Linked DNA regions of Drosophila melanogaster. The protein of the gene in region 3 purifies or fractionates together with the protein of the main gene of each other region. This does not show direct contact. Each region holds a gene or a part of one and is shown on either strand. Other genes may lie near its edges.

Region 1 (7,902 bases), on a different chromosome or scaffold from region 3:
TTAGCATTGCCACATGACCCACACTTTTCTCTTTAAAACAATGTTTTAACTTTACTTTAAACTTTAATGTCTTGGATGTTGTCTTGTATAGGGGCGGCTTGCAATATATCGGAGGAACTCGAACCTTATTCTTAAAGATCATTAAGCTGTAGCACATTAAAAACTTTCTTAACTATAAAAACTATATTATTAAAGGAACACAAGAGTGTTCTGAATGATTTATTTGCGATATAAAACATATTAATCGTATCCGCCATTATGTTGCAGGAGTAAAGATCGGACCAATTAAAGCCAGCTATAAAATTGTTTAGCCTACGAAAATTTGCCTTGCGAAAACAGTGAATTCGCTTGGTTGACTTCTCTGAATTTACTTATACCTTACCTATGTCGATTGCCACCTCGAAAGTAGGATATGGATCTTGAGGTTGAGTAAGAGGGTCTACCCTGGACAGAAACACACTTTCAGGACTTGTTACAAAACATAGATCCAACAGTCGACCAAGAGAGTTTGGAATATAATTAACTAGCGACAAAGATAAGTCGAGCAAGCCGTCAATAAAGTCATGTTGTGCTAAAGGGAGAAGGATATTCGATTTTTCTTCTGGGGACCCCGTTGTGCCAGGTATATTAAAATCACCTAGAACTACCAATTGGTCCCTGTCAGACAGTTTATTCAAGATGGACTGGATATCGGACAGATGATTCTTATATTCTGGGAATTCAGAAGATGGCGGAATATACGAGCACGTAATATAAACTGAACTGTCGGAAAATTACAGCTTTACACATAAGAATTCCGAGTTACGGGAATCGCCCAAAAGTAACTCTTCTGACGAGAGGATAGATCTAACCGCAATTAAGACTCCACCTCCCCGTCTGGAGGGACGGTCATACCAAAGACACTACAATGACAAGATGCGTAACGGCCATACATTGGTTTGGCACTATGCAGCCGCCACTTTTTTGGTGACGGCCAAAATTGCTCTCTGTCCGCTAGCTTACGCCGAGAGCGTAAGAAATCTTAAAATAGAACTTGCTTGCTTGTGCAAGTAAAAACAAGAGACGAGAACGCGTATATGTGTGCGTGTTGTTCTAGAAGACGATTTCGGGCCGAAAATTTTAGTGCCTTTGATCTGTCCCTAGCGTAAGAGAAGTTACACTTTTCCACTTTTATATTATCGGCTTTTGTTTTGTCTTGTATATAAGACAATACATCAGACAATGTTTCATCACGGGAAAGCCGAGAAACGAAAATTTGTTTATTTAGTGGAACCACCGCGAGGGGTTTTGGTCCTGCAGATTGTATTTCTGAAGTGCCAACTTGTGCCGTTAGTCCGGACTCAATGTTCCGTTGTGGTGGTAAACTAATCGGGACAGGTGGAATCACTGGTTAAGAAACCAGTGCAGGCAATTCGGAATTTTAAGCAATCACAGGTTGGGGTCAAACTGCACAAATCACAAAAGAATCACTCGCGAAGCGAACGGATCTTTAATAATTATGTTTAAAATATTTGATAATTAAAAAAGATTATTAAAAACCACGGCTGGTTGGACAAACACGAAATAAAAATCGGGTCGCAAAAAAAAAAACACGAACGTTCGCTTTGAAAGCTAATAGACTTTTTGAAGGCTTAATTATTAACATTGTATTTATACAGGGATAAGAGAACCTCACATTGGAGTTGATTAGGTTCGGGGATTGAATCTTAATACATTTAATTTAATTATTCTCAGCTTGCAAACCAGTTTATCGACAAGTAAGAAACGATGTTCCGGTTCCGCCTGATAAACAGCTACATCTTATATTGCATGTCGTCTAAACCCTTGAAGTTAGAGCTCCTTGTCTTCGTATCATAGATATGTATTGTGAGGAGTCTTAAAACTCCCCACAAATCCGGGGAGCACCAGCGAAGAAGGCGAAGGTTAAAGTCAGCTCTAACAGGAAATAGTGGATCTTAAACCCTGGTAAAGCGGATGCCGTGAACTAACGGTACCGCGCTGAACCTTGGACTCGAGCCAGAAATCAGTGAACTTTTAGTGGCCATGGAAAAAAAATGTTTGGCAACTCAATAAAAATTTACAAGACTAATGAAAAAAAATATCAAAAAATTTTGCAAAAGTGTGGGTGTGGCAGTTTTGGGCGGTTAGAGTAGGCGTGTCAACGCGTGGTTGAAAATACGAAGGAAACTATTCCTTTCTTGTAAGCAAAGAACAGCTGGCAAAACGCGAAACTAGAGTTTATTCGTACTATATAGGGTTGATAAAAATCTATTATCTTACCTTAATGTTATTTATATATTATAATGGAAATTATATTGGTAGTCATCTTTCTCTTAGATACATATGCTCCATAAGACTTGAAATATATAACAACACTTTTGTTGATATGATAGTTATCATTGCAGTGAAAGCCCTAATCCGAATGGCAGAACTTGTTTGCATTGCTGCAGGCTGCTCACCTGTACCAATGAAATATTTAAAAACATATTAAATTGAAATAATTTTATGTTTACCAGTTAATACGTGAACCCTAACAGAAGCTGGAATGGCTCCATTTGGAACGCATGTATAGTTTCCAGAATCCCTTAATGAAGCTCGCGTTAGCATCAATCGACTCGTTGTTCCTACATCAGTTTTTTCCGTTTCTAAACTTATTCCACCGCGAAGTGAATCGAAGTCAACAACTGATGAGCCATGATACCTTTGATATAGTAAAATAAGTTGTTAAAATCTCTTACAAAGATCATGGTTTCTTACCAAATCACAGATGGTGCATGTATATTAACAGAGCAAGCCAGGGCAATAGTGCTATCCCGTTTTACATGAATTTCCGTAGATCCAAGAATTTTTGCTCGAGCCGCTTTAAAATATCACAGATAATTTTAATTTTAAGCAAGCTATAAAAGGCCTTACACTTTGTGTCGTAAAACCGCTTCTTAGTTTTAAGGTCTTGAAAGTCGTTGTCAGCTAAAATTTTATACAAAAGTAAATTTAGTATGAGTAATTAAATTAATACAACATTTTCTGGGGGTAAGCATATTTATGAACTCTTCCAGGTGAAATTAAAACCTGAATCAAACAAAAACCAGAGAATGAGACCCAAGTCGGTCCGAGAATTTTTAACATCTTTCAAGAATATCGATTGAACTTGGGAAAAAAGTTAATTTTAATTCCCTAAGGTGTGGGCGGGATAGATTTGGGCGTGTTTTATGGTTCAAAGTGGGCGTAGGTAAAATGTTTTCGGCATATCGGTAGAAATTAGCAAACCAACTGATTTGTGGGAGTTAGAGTGGGCCTGGCAGTATGTCTGTAGAATCTGTATGCTAATCTCAAACTTCTAGCTTTTATAGTTCCTTAGATCTCGACGTTCATACGGACGGAAGGACATACTCGGGTATTTATCCTGAATATAGTTGGAAACGCTTCCTTCTGTCTATTACATTAAAAGTAATGATTATAAAAACTCCTCGACTTTCATGTACCGTGCGGGTAAAGTTTTTGGTCGGTTCTTAAGTAGGAAAGCTCAACTTTCTTTATCAAGTTCTTTATCAAGAAAATGTAGATCAATTCTCAATATTTAGTTAGTTAGTTGTTAAAAAAGCTGAACGCATGTCAACTGTGAAAATTGACTGATTTTGTTGCTTTCTAACTTAAAATCGCGAATTTTCGAAAATGTGTTTAATATCAAAAGTCGGGGAATTTTTTGTAAAATTATCAAAAGAGTCAAAAGGTTCCTTTTGCTGCAGTCTTTAACCTGTTGAATTTAGATAAAATAGGTTTAAACAGTATAGATAGCATTTGAATATGCATTTCCAGCTATTTATTGCCCAATACTCTAGACTCATTACTTTACTAATTTGTGTTCAGATTTAAAATTTTTAATTGCCAAGACTTGTTGATTTCTGCCTCTTGATTTCTGTATTATTTGTTATGGTCGCTCAACGACAAAATTTAGTTTTGTATATACAGTACTCGAGTTCCACAGTTATTATTTTGTTTTTTTTTTTTTTGTTTGTTAATAAATGTTTATATATATACCTATTACTTGCAAACAAATTGCTAAATTTATTTTAGGCTCGGTATTCACTTGACACTCATATACGCCACTGTCTCTTGGCTGTGCATAATCAATTTTTAAGTCCCAATCTTCACTGCCTGGTGGATGTATTACAGAAAATCGTTGATCGCCGGTGTAAGTATAAATGTTCGTTGTAAGAATGTGAAGATCCCGCTTACGCATCCATGATACCTGAAATAATTAAAAGTATTTATAAGAAATATTAAATAGATACGCAATTTTAGGACAAGGGAAAGTTAAGTCCTCCGCTATCTGATAACCCTTTCACTATTTCAAAATGTAATCATTTATTCCTAATCCTATTTGTTTAGATATAGGCAAGCTTGCTAGAGAAACATGAGACTTAAAAGAATTTTTCACATTTTCAAATTGAGAACAGGCCTCGAAACAAGCTTGATCGATGGAAATGGAGGCAAGTTCCCACGTAGATTTGGGAGGAGAGTTGAAAAGGGCTAGCGAAAAGACAGCGCAAGCTAGCAATCCTTGGGAGAAAACTGCCTTTAAAAAATAAAACGTTTTCCTGGTGTGTCCCCAAGTTTAGTTTGAAATTTAAGGTTACTTCCCCCTCAAACAATTTTCCGTCACTAATTCGTACAGTCGTACTTTTTACCATGTGACCGAATGTGCTCTTCAAACGAATAAAAATGTTTCGATATAATCCTATGTGTAAGAATAAAAGAAAGAACCCATAATGACTTACCGTGCGATTTCCTTTATTTTTAACCCGACATCTTAATATTGCGATTTCGTCGACTACGGCCGACACATTTCTTGGGCTAATATCATCAAAGAAAGGTCGCTCCAAATTGGTTAGGTCTAAAATGAATTTGTATTTTATGTTAAACGAAAACGGATGCTAAATTATTCAAGCCGAAGCGTATATACCCTTGCAGGTATAAACTAAAAATAATTTTATATGCCCCTTATCTAGAAGCTAAACATTTTAATTTAAAGTTTCGATCTTTTTATGGACGGAAGTGTCGGTCAAGACTAAGAGCTTGCGACAACTATATATACATGCGCGAAATCTTTTGCGATAGGTCGATCATAAAGAGTGGTTACACTTGTTGGTGAAAGAGCTTGGGGCGAGACATGAAACTGTTGTCATCTTTTAGAAACCGAAGCTCCTCTCGAAGGATGTTTTGCAAAGCAAGCTTTCAGGTGGTAAAAATACTATGGGCAAAATGCAATATTAAGATTATTTTTTAGATTTAAATTTAGCATAATTTAAATACAATGGCTTTTTAAACATAATACTTTTGCGTATAATTTCACAATTGAATATTGTTAAGTACAATACGTACATACATGTATAATTTTTGTCTTCGTATTCAGGAATGCATTATATGTTTTCATTCTACACGTTGCAGAAGAAAATGGGTCCAACCAAAATTAAAAAAAAAATCCCGCAAGGGTAAAAATATATTTATCATTCTAGTGGGAAACTTTTAATTTAAAATGTATCTTACCGTTCAGGCTTAAATATGAAGTTGCACTAATGTATTGACACCATATATTTAAATTCAAGACTAAAATAATGAATGGTTTGATTTTAATTGGCGAATTATTCAAGAATGTGGCATGTTTGCCACGCGACATGTTGCTTTAATTCATTTGTCTTTCACAGATATGCATTATTTAGAGTAGAATTCCATATACCTATGTAGTTATAATAAATGTTAAGTATATAATTAAGTTAGATATTAAGCACACGCGAGAGCACGTATTGGCGCAAGATTTTTATTGAGAACAACTTTGTATCGGCATCGATTTTTTATCCTTTTAATGGACTTTCAAATAATATTCTGTTTTTCGGTATTTAGATCTGTGTTTTTAATATACATACAATTATACTTGCTGGCTTCAATTTTTATATACTTTTTTTAGTCTTTACACTTATTTCGTTGGCATCGACAATTATTATTTCAACGGTAAGCTCTAACAACCCCTAAGCAGCACGTTTTAGTGTTTCTGTGAGGACGACTTGTATACAGATTTTTAATATTCTGCAACCCTGAAAATATTCGCGCATGCCCATTGTCACATATGTACATATGTGTTATCTTACAATTTAGGATAGATTCTATATATTTATAGATTGCGTAGGTTATAATTATTTGTATGTATATATTTTTTAATTTTAACATTTTGAAGTCATATACTAAGTACTCTAGTTTCCTTTTATTGCTAAGACTCAGTAACACGGCTTAATAATATAAGCAATGGGCGGAATACAAATGGTACACATCAATTTGAGACTGAGATCAGATAAACGTGACAATAGCACCTTTACCCCTTAAATTTCGAACAAATTTGTTACTACTGACAGTTACATTCTCAAAAACGGTAATGGTAATGTAAGCATACATTGTGAATTTATCCTAAAAAAATGCATAAGTTATTATACCAGTTACTCGTAAATTTAAATGATATAGAAAAGGAAACGTTACCCGTTACTCGTAGAGTAAAAGGGTATACTAAAATCGTTACAAAGTATGTAACAGGCAGAAGGAAGCGTTTCCGGCTACATAAATTATATGATATTATTATATTATATACATTTTTATTCTTGATCAGGATCAAAAACCGAGTCGATCTAGCCTTATCCGTATGAACGCCGAAATCTCAGGAACCATAAAACCAAGAAGGTAGAGATTTAACATACAGCCCATATTTTAAAAAAATTGTTGGATGTTGTTCCAATATTTTATTATTCTTGTACATTTCTATCGATTTGCCAAAAAACTTTTAGCCCCGCCCTAAAGCCCCAAACCGGTCACGCCCACTCTACTATTATTATTAAATAGTATTAACTATTATTAATTTTTTTGTCATTTTATTCCCCAATATCTATCGATATCTCAGAAAAATGATAAAATTCCGCGTTTGCATTTACACTAGCTGAGTAACAGGTATCTGATAGTCGGGGAACTCGACTATAGCATTCTCTCTTGTTTTAGTTTTAAGTTGACTTGTTTGAAAATTAGTGTAAGTTAGTTTAGTTCACATAAAGTTCAGTTTCGCTCCCTTAAAAACTGTCACCGTCCTTGTTAACATCTAGGTGTTTCCTTTTGAAAATCAATTCTTAAATTCAAAATGTAGCTTCACACAGATAGAACTATAACTTTTCAACTAGCAGCTTGCACAGAGCATGACACATACATAAGGCCAATTATTCGCTTCGGACTAAACATCTGCAAAAGTGTATAATTTGTTTTCCTTATAGAAGGCAACACCATTTCAGGTCAAGGTATTTACATGAACCTAATGTAATGTCTCATCAGCTCTACCGCAATAGTAGTATTATTCTTAAATAACAGTACATTAATTGCAAACGAAAATACAAATTCCAATTGAATTTAGGTTTGTCCGGTATAAGCACGACAATTGGGATAACAAGGTATTATGAAATTGTATACATATGTTTTTGTACAAATCTTGTTTGTAAATATAAACTTAAAAAGTAAGAAAAGTAAAGAGTTTGTTTTCAGAACGTGTATATGTATGCACATTAGTCGATCACAAGCGGGATGCTCTTGTACCATAAATACATTCAAAAATAATATCTCGTGAACTTCGAAATATTTTTATGTTTTTTTTTCTGAAAATAATGTTCTCTTATTATGTACACGCTATCTCGCCAGGCATTTTGTGCTATTTTTCGAGGTTTAACAGTGTCTAAATAGAAAATAAATAGTATCAATAATATGACATATAAAAATTAAATAACAAATAAATAATCGTAAACCTCAAGGTGTCATAGTTACTATTTGTTGATAAAATTATACAGAAGTACTGGTTATTCCAGAATTTCAATATAAATA
Region 2 (4,903 bases), 3.5 Mb from region 3:
AAAAATACTTTGAAGTTTTGATGGCTTTTTGCTGTGCAATATTTTTCGGGTTTTCCTGATTTTTTAATGCCTCTTGTTCTTGACGCCAGTCTTCTACTGCTTCTTCTTGTTAGTTAGTTGTTGCTTGTTTGGATTTATGAACCTGCCACAAATTCGTCAGCGAAAATCCCTGGGAAAATTCTCTCAGCTGCTGTGTTTTTGTTCCGTTTTTTGTTTTTCTTTTCGCTTCTTGTTGAGTTTGTCAAATTTTTGACATTGAATCTGCAATGCGGGTGGCTAGAAAAAAAAAGGATAGCCGCAGGTGAAGGCAGCAAAGGATCTGCAGGAGCAATGCAGTTTCAGCCCGACTGATTTTTCCACGCTTGGATTTATTTTCATTTTTTCCGGCTGCGCTGCGTGTTTTTTTCCCACGCCCCAGAAAAAAAAAACTGGCTGCTTGTGAAATAATTGATGTGCAAATGTTCAATTGAGTTCACCTTGAGTGAAAGTGAGGGGCAAAAGGAAGCCAATAGATAGACGGCGGCTTTCACTCTGACGAACGTTAAATGTCAATGGAATGTGGGGTGGGGTGGGGTTGGGTGTAAACGAGAGGAGGTGTCTGCAAATTGGTGGCTTAAATTGATTAAGCTCCAAATGCAATCGATTATAAATTATTAAGAGCAGCTTAGGCCTATTATGTGTGGATAGCTGATATATTGGTATTAGGAAATTCATAACAAGTTCATTGAAAATTCGCGGTTATTAATTATTTATTATTATTTAATTATTTATTATCCATAATACTTGGATTAAAATGAATTTAAAAAGCTAATAGCGTTTGTAGAAATATTATAGAGTGTGAAGCTAAACTTAAAATTATAATCTCATAACTTGAAACATTAAGTGTCTTATATATTTTGCAAACTGACTTCTATTCAAAATATGGCAATTTCTCAAAAGTTTCAACAGCCTGGGGAAATGTTTCTTCAAATAAAGCGAAAACTGAAGGGGTAACTTTATGCACTGAATAAAGGGATTTTATCGCTCAACAAAGAAGCAGTTTATGTCCTAATGGACTTTTTAGAACAAGAGGTTCATGAAAAGCAGTAAACATGCTTATGGGATATATTTGGAAGTTAAAAAGCAGTCATATCTCAAGAAGGATATTTTTAGACTAATGTAAGGGCATTTTAGACCGGGTGTCCTTGGAAGCAGTGCAGGAAAGGATTTTTGTTTCAACTGTAAACAGGAGCATTTACCACACGTAGGATTTATTTAGCAGCTAAAAGATTTTTTGACTATGGTCTATGGAAAAATATATCATTCTACTTAAACTAAAAAGCAGTGCAGACTGCTTTCTACTTAAAGCAGGGGAAGAATATGCAAGACCAAATAGTATGAAAATTGGTAATAAGTCTCTTAATTTTTTGAAAATATTATCTAAGCCAAATATAAATATTTAAAATTAAAGATATAAAAAATAATACTTTTAGGGCACTTACTTTTAGGTAAAAATTAAATATATTTTTTCTAAATTTATTATGATTATTTTTAAAATTTATTTAGTTTATTAATGCCCATTCCCACATTTCACATTGCGCTGCAAGGATATTTGCGGGATATTATTTCCCCAGGATTTCACGAAGCTTTAACACACATTCGGAGTGCGGCGAATTGTGGTCCTTACAAGCTTTTCCGACTCGTGACTGTGTGCGTGTGCGGCTGATTGCCTGCGTGTGAGTGTCCTGTTCGCGTTGTTGTCCTAGTCGGTTTTGAACTTTTTTTTTACGTGCCTCGGAAGCCTTCGCTTTTACCTTCGCCTTTGCCTGTAGCCGCCGTAGTTCATGCCGCCGATCTCAGTATTGTGACGGCAACCAGGGGCTGCGGAAGTGCCACACACTCGCGACCTCGAGTCCTTTTCGCGCACAACGGTAAATCGAGTGGGTTAGGCGGTTTTTCGAGTTTTTCGAGTTTCCCGTGTTTTCCGACTTTTCCGGCGACCCAAGGAAAGGCGTAATTTTGAAGTGCGTTAACGAGGAGATTCGCCGGAAAGCGGACTTTTCAATGGCCCCGTGGAGTGAAAAGTGGGAAACAACAATAGAAATTTAAATATTCATGAACAGTGTCGATTGTCATCAATTGTGCGATGTTGTGCGGTGGCTGTGGACACATCGCACCCGCCAAACATTGTGTGGAACATTTCCCGCTCCTTTCGCCAATCAATGGCTGTTCACACATGAACACGAATATATTTAAAGACTTACAATTTTGGGCTCCGTTCATATCTTATGTAAATGAATCGAGAGCGATAAATTATATTTAGGATTTTGTTATCTAAGGCGACATGGGTGCATTGCTCAAAAACATGTAATTTAAGTGCACACTACATGAGTCAGTCACTTGAGATCGTTCCCCGCCTCCTAAAATAGTCCCTTAGTGGGAGACCACAGATAAGGTCCTCGCCGCTCAAGATAGGCAGATGTGCCCGAGCGTGGGACCTCGATAAGGCGGGGACTATTTACGTAGGCCTCTGCGTAGGCCATTTACTTTAAGATGCGATTCTCATGTCACCTATTTAAACCGAAGATATTTCCAAATAAAATCAGTTTTCTTACAAAAACTCAACGAGTAAAGTCTTCTTATTTGGGATTTTACATTTGGTCAATCGAGCCTTTAATCGACTCTGCAGTTTCCCCCTACCAAAGGTAAGGAACTCAGAGAAAGGCCAGCTCCTTTAAGCATCTTACAGCTAAAGGTAGCAAAAATAAGTGACTCTTGTTTCCCCCTACCAAAGGTAAGGAACAGAGTATAAATATAAAAAGCAAAAGATACAAAAGAATCTTTTATGTTTTAAAACAAGCACCTTATAGTCTATAGCTAAAGGTTGCTTTGTGTACCATTATAAATTGTGGTAAGGCGTGCTTGAGGCCATACATCAGCAATTGTGAAATTAAAAAGTGCATAACAAAAGTGCCTTATAAATGCTCTAATAGCATTAAATCAGCTCATAAATAGAGTGCAGTGTATATGCCATAAGAGCATAAATTAAATAAAAAGTGCCTGAAAACAGTGCCTTATAAATGCTCTAATAGCATTAAATCAGCTCATAAATAGAGCGCAGTGTATATGCCAAAAGAGCATAAATGCCGAAATAAATGGCTAAAAAACAAAAAATCTGACTGGACTACAAAAATAATAAAACGTGCCAAAAAAAAAAAAAAAATCATCTTTAAACATCGACGGAGCCTTAAAGAAGAGAAGGAAGTCAAATTCAAAGGAGCCTCTACCAGCAGCAGAAGCAGCAACAACAGCAGCAGCAGAAGCAGCAACAGCAGTAGCAACAGCAGCAACAACAGCAGCAACAGCAGCAGCAACAACAACGACATCAGCTAAGTCAAAACAAGAATTTTCTGTTTATCCAAACACACATATATATATAAATACATATAAAATACATATACACGTACTATATATATTAAGAAATTACAAAAAATTTTCAAAATGATGTCAGAAAAGACTATTCAATTCCTTAAGAAGCAGTCCGAAATTATTTTGGAAATTAGAAAGTTGGAAGTAAAACCAACATTAACAGATGTAGAAATTCTAAAATTAAATGAGCTTCAAAAATGTTTCATTGCTAATCATAGCAATTTGTTAAAGATCGGCGTTGTCGATCATGAATATTTTAACGCGAAGCAGTATGATTTAATAATGATGGTGTTAGAAAAAATTAAAAATAAAAATGAAAAAATTAAGGGCGAGTCGGTAGAAAACACTTTCCCTAAATCAAACACTGTCCCTAAATCAAACCCTCCCCCTACATTAAACCTTGAAATGCGTGGTCACCCTGAAAAAGAGGGTATAGCACAAAACAACGCTTTAAAAGTAGAGCAGGCATTTCGTAATAATGTTGGCCAATTTCGAGTATATCTAGAAGATACGTCTAAACTAATAGACAGTAGTCCAGATTTCCTTAAAATAAGGAAAAATAAAATTGAATTTTTATGGCATAAAATAGATAACCTGATTGAACAGGTGAATAGTCATTTTGAGAGTTCGCTATTCGAAGAAGAAATTAGCGAACTTGAATTTGACAAACAAAATATTCTTACAGCCATTAATAGTCGACTCAGTGGCACAATAAATAAAGCTGAAATGTCGACGGTTGTTAAGGCGGAGGAGTTACCAACCCTGCCTAAAATACAGATTCCCACCTTCTTTGGTGATTCCAAAGAATGGGATCTTTTTAATGAACTCTTTACAGAGCTCATACATGTGAGAGAGGATCTCAGTCCTTCTCTCAAATTTAATTATCTAAAGTCAGCATTAAAAGGAGAAGCCAGAAATGTGGTTACTCATTTACTGCTCGGCTCTGGAGAAAATTATGAAGCCACTTGGGAGTTTTTGACCAAGCGATATGAGAATAAAAGAAACATATTCTCAGATCATATGAATAGGCTTATGGATATGCCAAATTTAAATTTAGAATCCAATAAGCAAATAAAGACATTTATTGACACGATTAACGAGTCAATTTATATTATAAAATTAAAGGCACAATTACCAGAAGATGTGGATGCAATTTTCGCTCACATAATTCTTCGGAAATTCAATAAAGAATCACTCAATTTATATGAAAGCCATGTTAAAAAGACAAAAGAAATACAGGCACTTTCTGATGTCATGGACTTTTTAGAGCAAAGGCTCAATTCTATATCATCATTCTCACAGGAAGTAAAACCTGTAAAGAAAATGATTAATAATAACAAGAATAAAAATTATAGTGACAATTGTGCATATTGCAAACTACCAGGGCATTATTTAATTCAATGCCATAAATTTAAAATAATGAATCCAGCAGAACGGTCTGACTGGGTAAGAAAAAATGGGATTTGCCTAAGATGTCTGAGGCATCCGTTTGGTA
Region 3 (4,668 bases):
AATAAATATGCAAGTAAAGGAAATATTTTTTTCTGGTTTTAGGCAACCAGCAAGGGTAGTCGAAACTTTTGAGAAATTGCGAAACGTCATTTATCTATTGTAAAAGGAGAAAATGAGTACTTGGGCTATGAGTGCTTCTTGGCCCTCGGTTTAATTAGAGCCACATCCACTGGGAGCGTTTACATCATTTGCCATAATTCATCTGTCCACTGACTGCCAGCTGCTGTTGTGCATCGCTCGAAATAAAAATCAAATCACAGAGCCGTCCATCTTGGCTGTCAGTTGCCATGATGCTTGCTTGTTTTTCCTTGCCTTGTCTCTTCTCAGCTGGGAAATTTCTTTTAATATAACAAGCCATGCGAAATGCGTACACAAAAAGATGGCAAAATGCTTGCTCCAACGCCCGCTCACACTAACTAGCCACAAGCAGCATTTCCCACTGACATGCAGCTTGTGCATTTTCCCCGTCTTGCATTTGATTAACCTACAAAAAGGCGTTTGGACGTGCGATGCAGTTCGCACAGTGGGCGTTCCTGTTTGTTGCTGCGGTTTCTGGGCTTTTCTTAACGGGCAACTTTAATAAAAAAAACGGTCAGCGGGGGACGGGATGCAGCTGCAGCGGGGGAAAATGCATAAATGCATAAAAAATTGGCCAGCTTACAAGCCGCTTTACATATGCAACATGGGCGCCTGCTGTGCGGGTGTGTGGGTGTGCGGAAGTGCATTGGCACACATATACTTGTACGAGCACACATTGTTGCAAGCAGACATTTTTCCGACACGTGTTTGCTTTCCCGCACTTCCGTTTCCGCCGAGCCATTGATGTGACTTTCCGTCATTTTGTGGGAGAACGAGCTGCTTTTCCGACGCCTTGCCAGCCCCTCAAAGACTTAATTATTTTTCACCAAATAATTAATCAGAGTGAAATGGGAAACTAACAAAATCGGACAGGATGGTGAGACCGACCCCATTTACTCTTGTGATGAAATTTCGAAACTTTGGTAAAACACTTTTTGGCCCTGTGCGAAAGTATGCTGTGAACTATTGCAGCCACCTGAAAGCATTCACGCATATTCGTATGTGTGCGCGTGTGTGTGTGGCCAAGCGTTTGCGCTCGTTTGTGTTTTGTGGGTTGGCCATGCATTTCCGGTTTTAATGATTATAACACAATCAAGTGCATATTGCCTAATTAGCGATCCCCAGCAGCAAGCGCCGTCCAGGCCGCATAAAGTGCATAAAATATTTCCCGCACTCGCTGCGGGCGCTTCATCCGCATGTGCATATGCATGTGTTAGTGTTCGCTCGCGTGCGCTAGTGTGTGTGAGTGCTCGCATATTTTATGTCGCTTATTGGACGGCCATCCACAACGAGCTGTGCATCTATAGTATGTATGTGCATGTATATGCTTCTAGCAGCTAAATTTCATATTCATGTTGTTTATACGGCTTCCGTTTTGGGTGCGTGTGCGAAAATATTGTGTGTAATTGTGCGGTCGGCTACCCGTTTTATTTGATAATTGTGCACAAAACTCCCCACCTATTCATTAGCGCTGACGAACAGCGCCCCACAAATTTGTAGACACAACAAAGGCAAACTGTTATTCCATTTTCCCCCCCAAAGTCTGACACTTGACGCGAGCTCCCAATAATTTAGTTAAAGCTCGTCCTTGGGTGATTTTCGTCCTGCACTTCAAACTGTTTTCGGGCTACAAGTGAAGTAAAGTTATCAAAAAAGTTTGCTGATACCAAGTATTCGACGTTTCGCAAACTTTTCTGAATTATATGTGTATATACGAAAGTAGTGAATGCATATAATAAAGGATAAACGTTGCTTAAGAAATCATGTTGCATGGAACTTAATTTGTTAAGCACATCATTCAGGCTTGAATATTTTTAGCTAGCAATGGCAATGCTAGAAGTCAAAGGAATTGTAATAATAATAAATCGCTATTTTGTTTATGTTGATAACGAGAAGGATATTTTAGGATACTAATATACAAAATACAAAGACAAAATATCCTAGGGGTTTCAAATCATAGAATTGGGCAGAGCTAACAAGTTATTAAGGCATAAAAACCAAATATATATATATAAATATATATATATATGTATCCTTTTGCCATTAATGTTAACCTTTATTGTATACAATAATTGTTTTTCTGACCCTGTTGTTTAAGTTTTCCTTTCATCAATATAAAAGCTTTTTTCCTTTTTTCTTAGATTTATTACGCGTTTTATAACAAACCGCTGCTGTAATGTGACACGGCTTTATGTTGTCAACCACTTTCGAAAGTAATTCATTTTTTTTCAAACAAAATTTCATAATTTCGTTGCGTTCTGTTTGATCATAATCCTGTTTTGAAACGACATTTTTTGTTGATGCTGCGCTTTGCGGGCCACTTTTAATTGCAATAATTAAATGTCAAATTAAATCCTAAATTCCTCGGTGGAATTAATTCAATTGGCGTGACAGTCAAAGTGAAATAACGAATAAAATACCACAATTTCCCAGCGCCGCTAGGGCCCTTCTATAAATGCCGTTTGCAGGCTCTACCAGCCGAGAGAAATGCTGTGATTGTTTTTCCGCAAGTCGGCACTCCTCTTTCATTTTTTTTCGCCAGCCATTTAATGAGCCACGCTCGACTTGCCGCCAAGAATGCAATCAACAGGGGAGGGGAGCGGAGAATGCACGGGTATGCACCAGGACCTTAGTACCCAGCAAGGAGCCAGGACCGGCACAATTTGCGTTAAGCGGGCTGTGAAAAATGAAGTACCAAATTGAAGTTGGCAGCCAGCGTCTCCGGTTGTGTCTTGCACTTATTTATTTATTTAATTCTGGCCATTCCTTCCGCTTACGTACAGTGCTGAGCTATTGTCCTCCGATGATATCGCAGGCACTCGCGACTCGCGGCATTCAATTCAAGCGAGGGACGAAACGCGAGCGCGTCGACTTTCGACACCAACGTGTTAAGAGCTGCGAACTGGTGCGACCGTCAGCGTTGCGCACTAAAACCATACTAAACTAATTTGCTTAGCAGGACGCACTGATTACACAAAGTCCTCGAAGGGCGATAATCGCCGTCATTCGTCACGACTGTCGACTACCGAGCGCTCTTCGGCTCGGAGTTCGTGGAGTTCGGCAAGCACTCGCGAACTTGCCGAAGCGAGCCGAACTCCAAAGGCAAAGAGAACCAGGTCCCGTTAGAGAGCAACAGAGCCAGAGCTCTGTTAGCTGGTTAACAGTGCTGTGGCAGGATAAGAAACCATTGTTGGGGCATCGAAGTCGACCCTTATAGCAGCAAACTATTCTTCCTATTTGGTGGGCTTAAATCTACAATGCAACTTCCAAATAGACCAAACGACTCATATCCTGGCATACTGATTTTTAGAGCTCTTTCCACTAATTTATCGATTTAAATGCAAAAATTTCGTGCCATCTAGCCCGGCATTCCCCAATGATGACCGAGCTTTCAATCATTTAAAATTCCCCAAATACACACACACACGCGGAACACACTCTTCCCTCATCAATGCAAAAATCAAACATTATTTATGCAAATTACAAGCCATTATTATTTAAGCCAACAACCACAAAGGCAGTAATAGTGGGCAAGTACGAGGAGGGGAAAGGGAAACTCCGACCAACAATCATATCCGTCATAGTCATAAAGCCAGGGACCAGGGGACAGCGGGGCCTGCCAATGCTTTGGGGAACCAATTTGGCAGCCGGCATAAATAAATTTTTACTTAATGTAGGTCAGTAATGTGCGCTTCGGTCTCTCTTACCCAAGGCTTCTCTCTTCGGCAAGCGGTGCTCTTTAGAGCGTTCTCTCTTCGGACGCAGCGCCGTGAAATATGCTACTAAAGTTGCTTCTTTTCCGGCTGCGTGTGTGTAGGTGCTCGGGAAATGCCATCAAGCATCAAAGGACCGGGTATGCTTGCATAATGCAAACAGCCAATGATATTGCCATGATTCGTTGAATAATTTCAATTCCAGCTTTCAAGTTGCACACACCAGTAGTCGGTAATTGGTATTAAATAGTTGGGTAGTTAAAAATTTGATGTCATAAAAATAATAAATGCTATTTAGTTATTTGGTAGGAAATCTTCATAAATTCTTAGCTTTCTTCTAAATTCAAAGGTGAAAAGTAAACGCTAGTAGCACAAATTTTTTAGTGTTAAGATATTTTTCGAACATAAAACAATTGCATCTGAATACCTTCGAATAAGCACTGACGCTAACACGATGAATAGCTGAGTGATATCCATCCTAAGTAAAGTTGCATTTGCCAGGGGCTGCATAAATAAATTAGGATACCGAAACTGAGCCAACCGTCTAAACTTCAAAACTCACTTGGTTTCCCATGGATTTTTGCGTAAGTTTAGCTCTACTCACAGTAGACTGCTACAGTCTCCCCCTTCATTCCCTTTAAACAGATCCTGAGACCCACACAAAATCGTCTCCTTGTAACGCATCCTGCAACGCAAGTTGCTCGAAATTTATGTACAAACTCACTTAGGCAAGAATGTTTATGCGTTTTGTACGTGTTGGTTACTGTCGCTCATGTGGGTAGCATCCTCCACATCCTTACCTTGCGCCATCTCATTCCAGCGATCCCACTCGTTTATTTTGGCATTTCTACGAATTTTTTGGGGAAATTTTGTAATG

Evidence for each region. Proteins that work in one complex are often made in the same cells at the same time.
Region 1: the proteins of DIP-theta (region 3) and dpr7 purify together in Drosophila melanogaster (affinity purification with western blotting; 2 studies listed by BioGRID). This does not show direct contact.
Region 2: the proteins of DIP-theta (region 3) and dpr3 purify together in Drosophila melanogaster (affinity purification with western blotting; 2 studies listed by BioGRID). This does not show direct contact.

Annotation. Positions count from the first base shown.
Region 1 is NC_004353.4:247,277-255,178, forward strand, and holds the start of dpr7 (defective proboscis extension response 7), read right to left. Parts: upstream 6,054-7,902; 5' UTR 5,925-6,053; exon of another isoform or gene 5,738-5,924; 5' UTR 5,678-5,737; coding exon 5,548-5,677; intron 5,436-5,547; exon of another isoform or gene 5,435-5,435; coding exon of another isoform or gene 5,383-5,434; intron 4,895-5,382; coding exon 4,779-4,894; intron 4,250-4,778; coding exon 4,039-4,249; intron 2,968-4,038; coding exon 2,914-2,967; intron 2,861-2,913; coding exon 2,758-2,860; intron 2,702-2,757; coding exon 2,514-2,701; intron 2,460-2,513; coding exon 2,323-2,459; 3' UTR 2,281-2,322; intron 1-2,280.
Region 2 is NT_033779.5:2,106,826-2,111,728, reverse strand, and holds the start of dpr3 (defective proboscis extension response 3), read left to right. Parts: upstream 1-1,850; 5' UTR 1,851-2,003; intron 2,004-4,903.
Region 3 is NT_033779.5:5,655,536-5,660,203, forward strand, and holds the start of DIP-theta (Dpr-interacting protein theta), read right to left. Parts: upstream 3,026-4,668; 5' UTR 2,860-3,025; intron 1-2,859.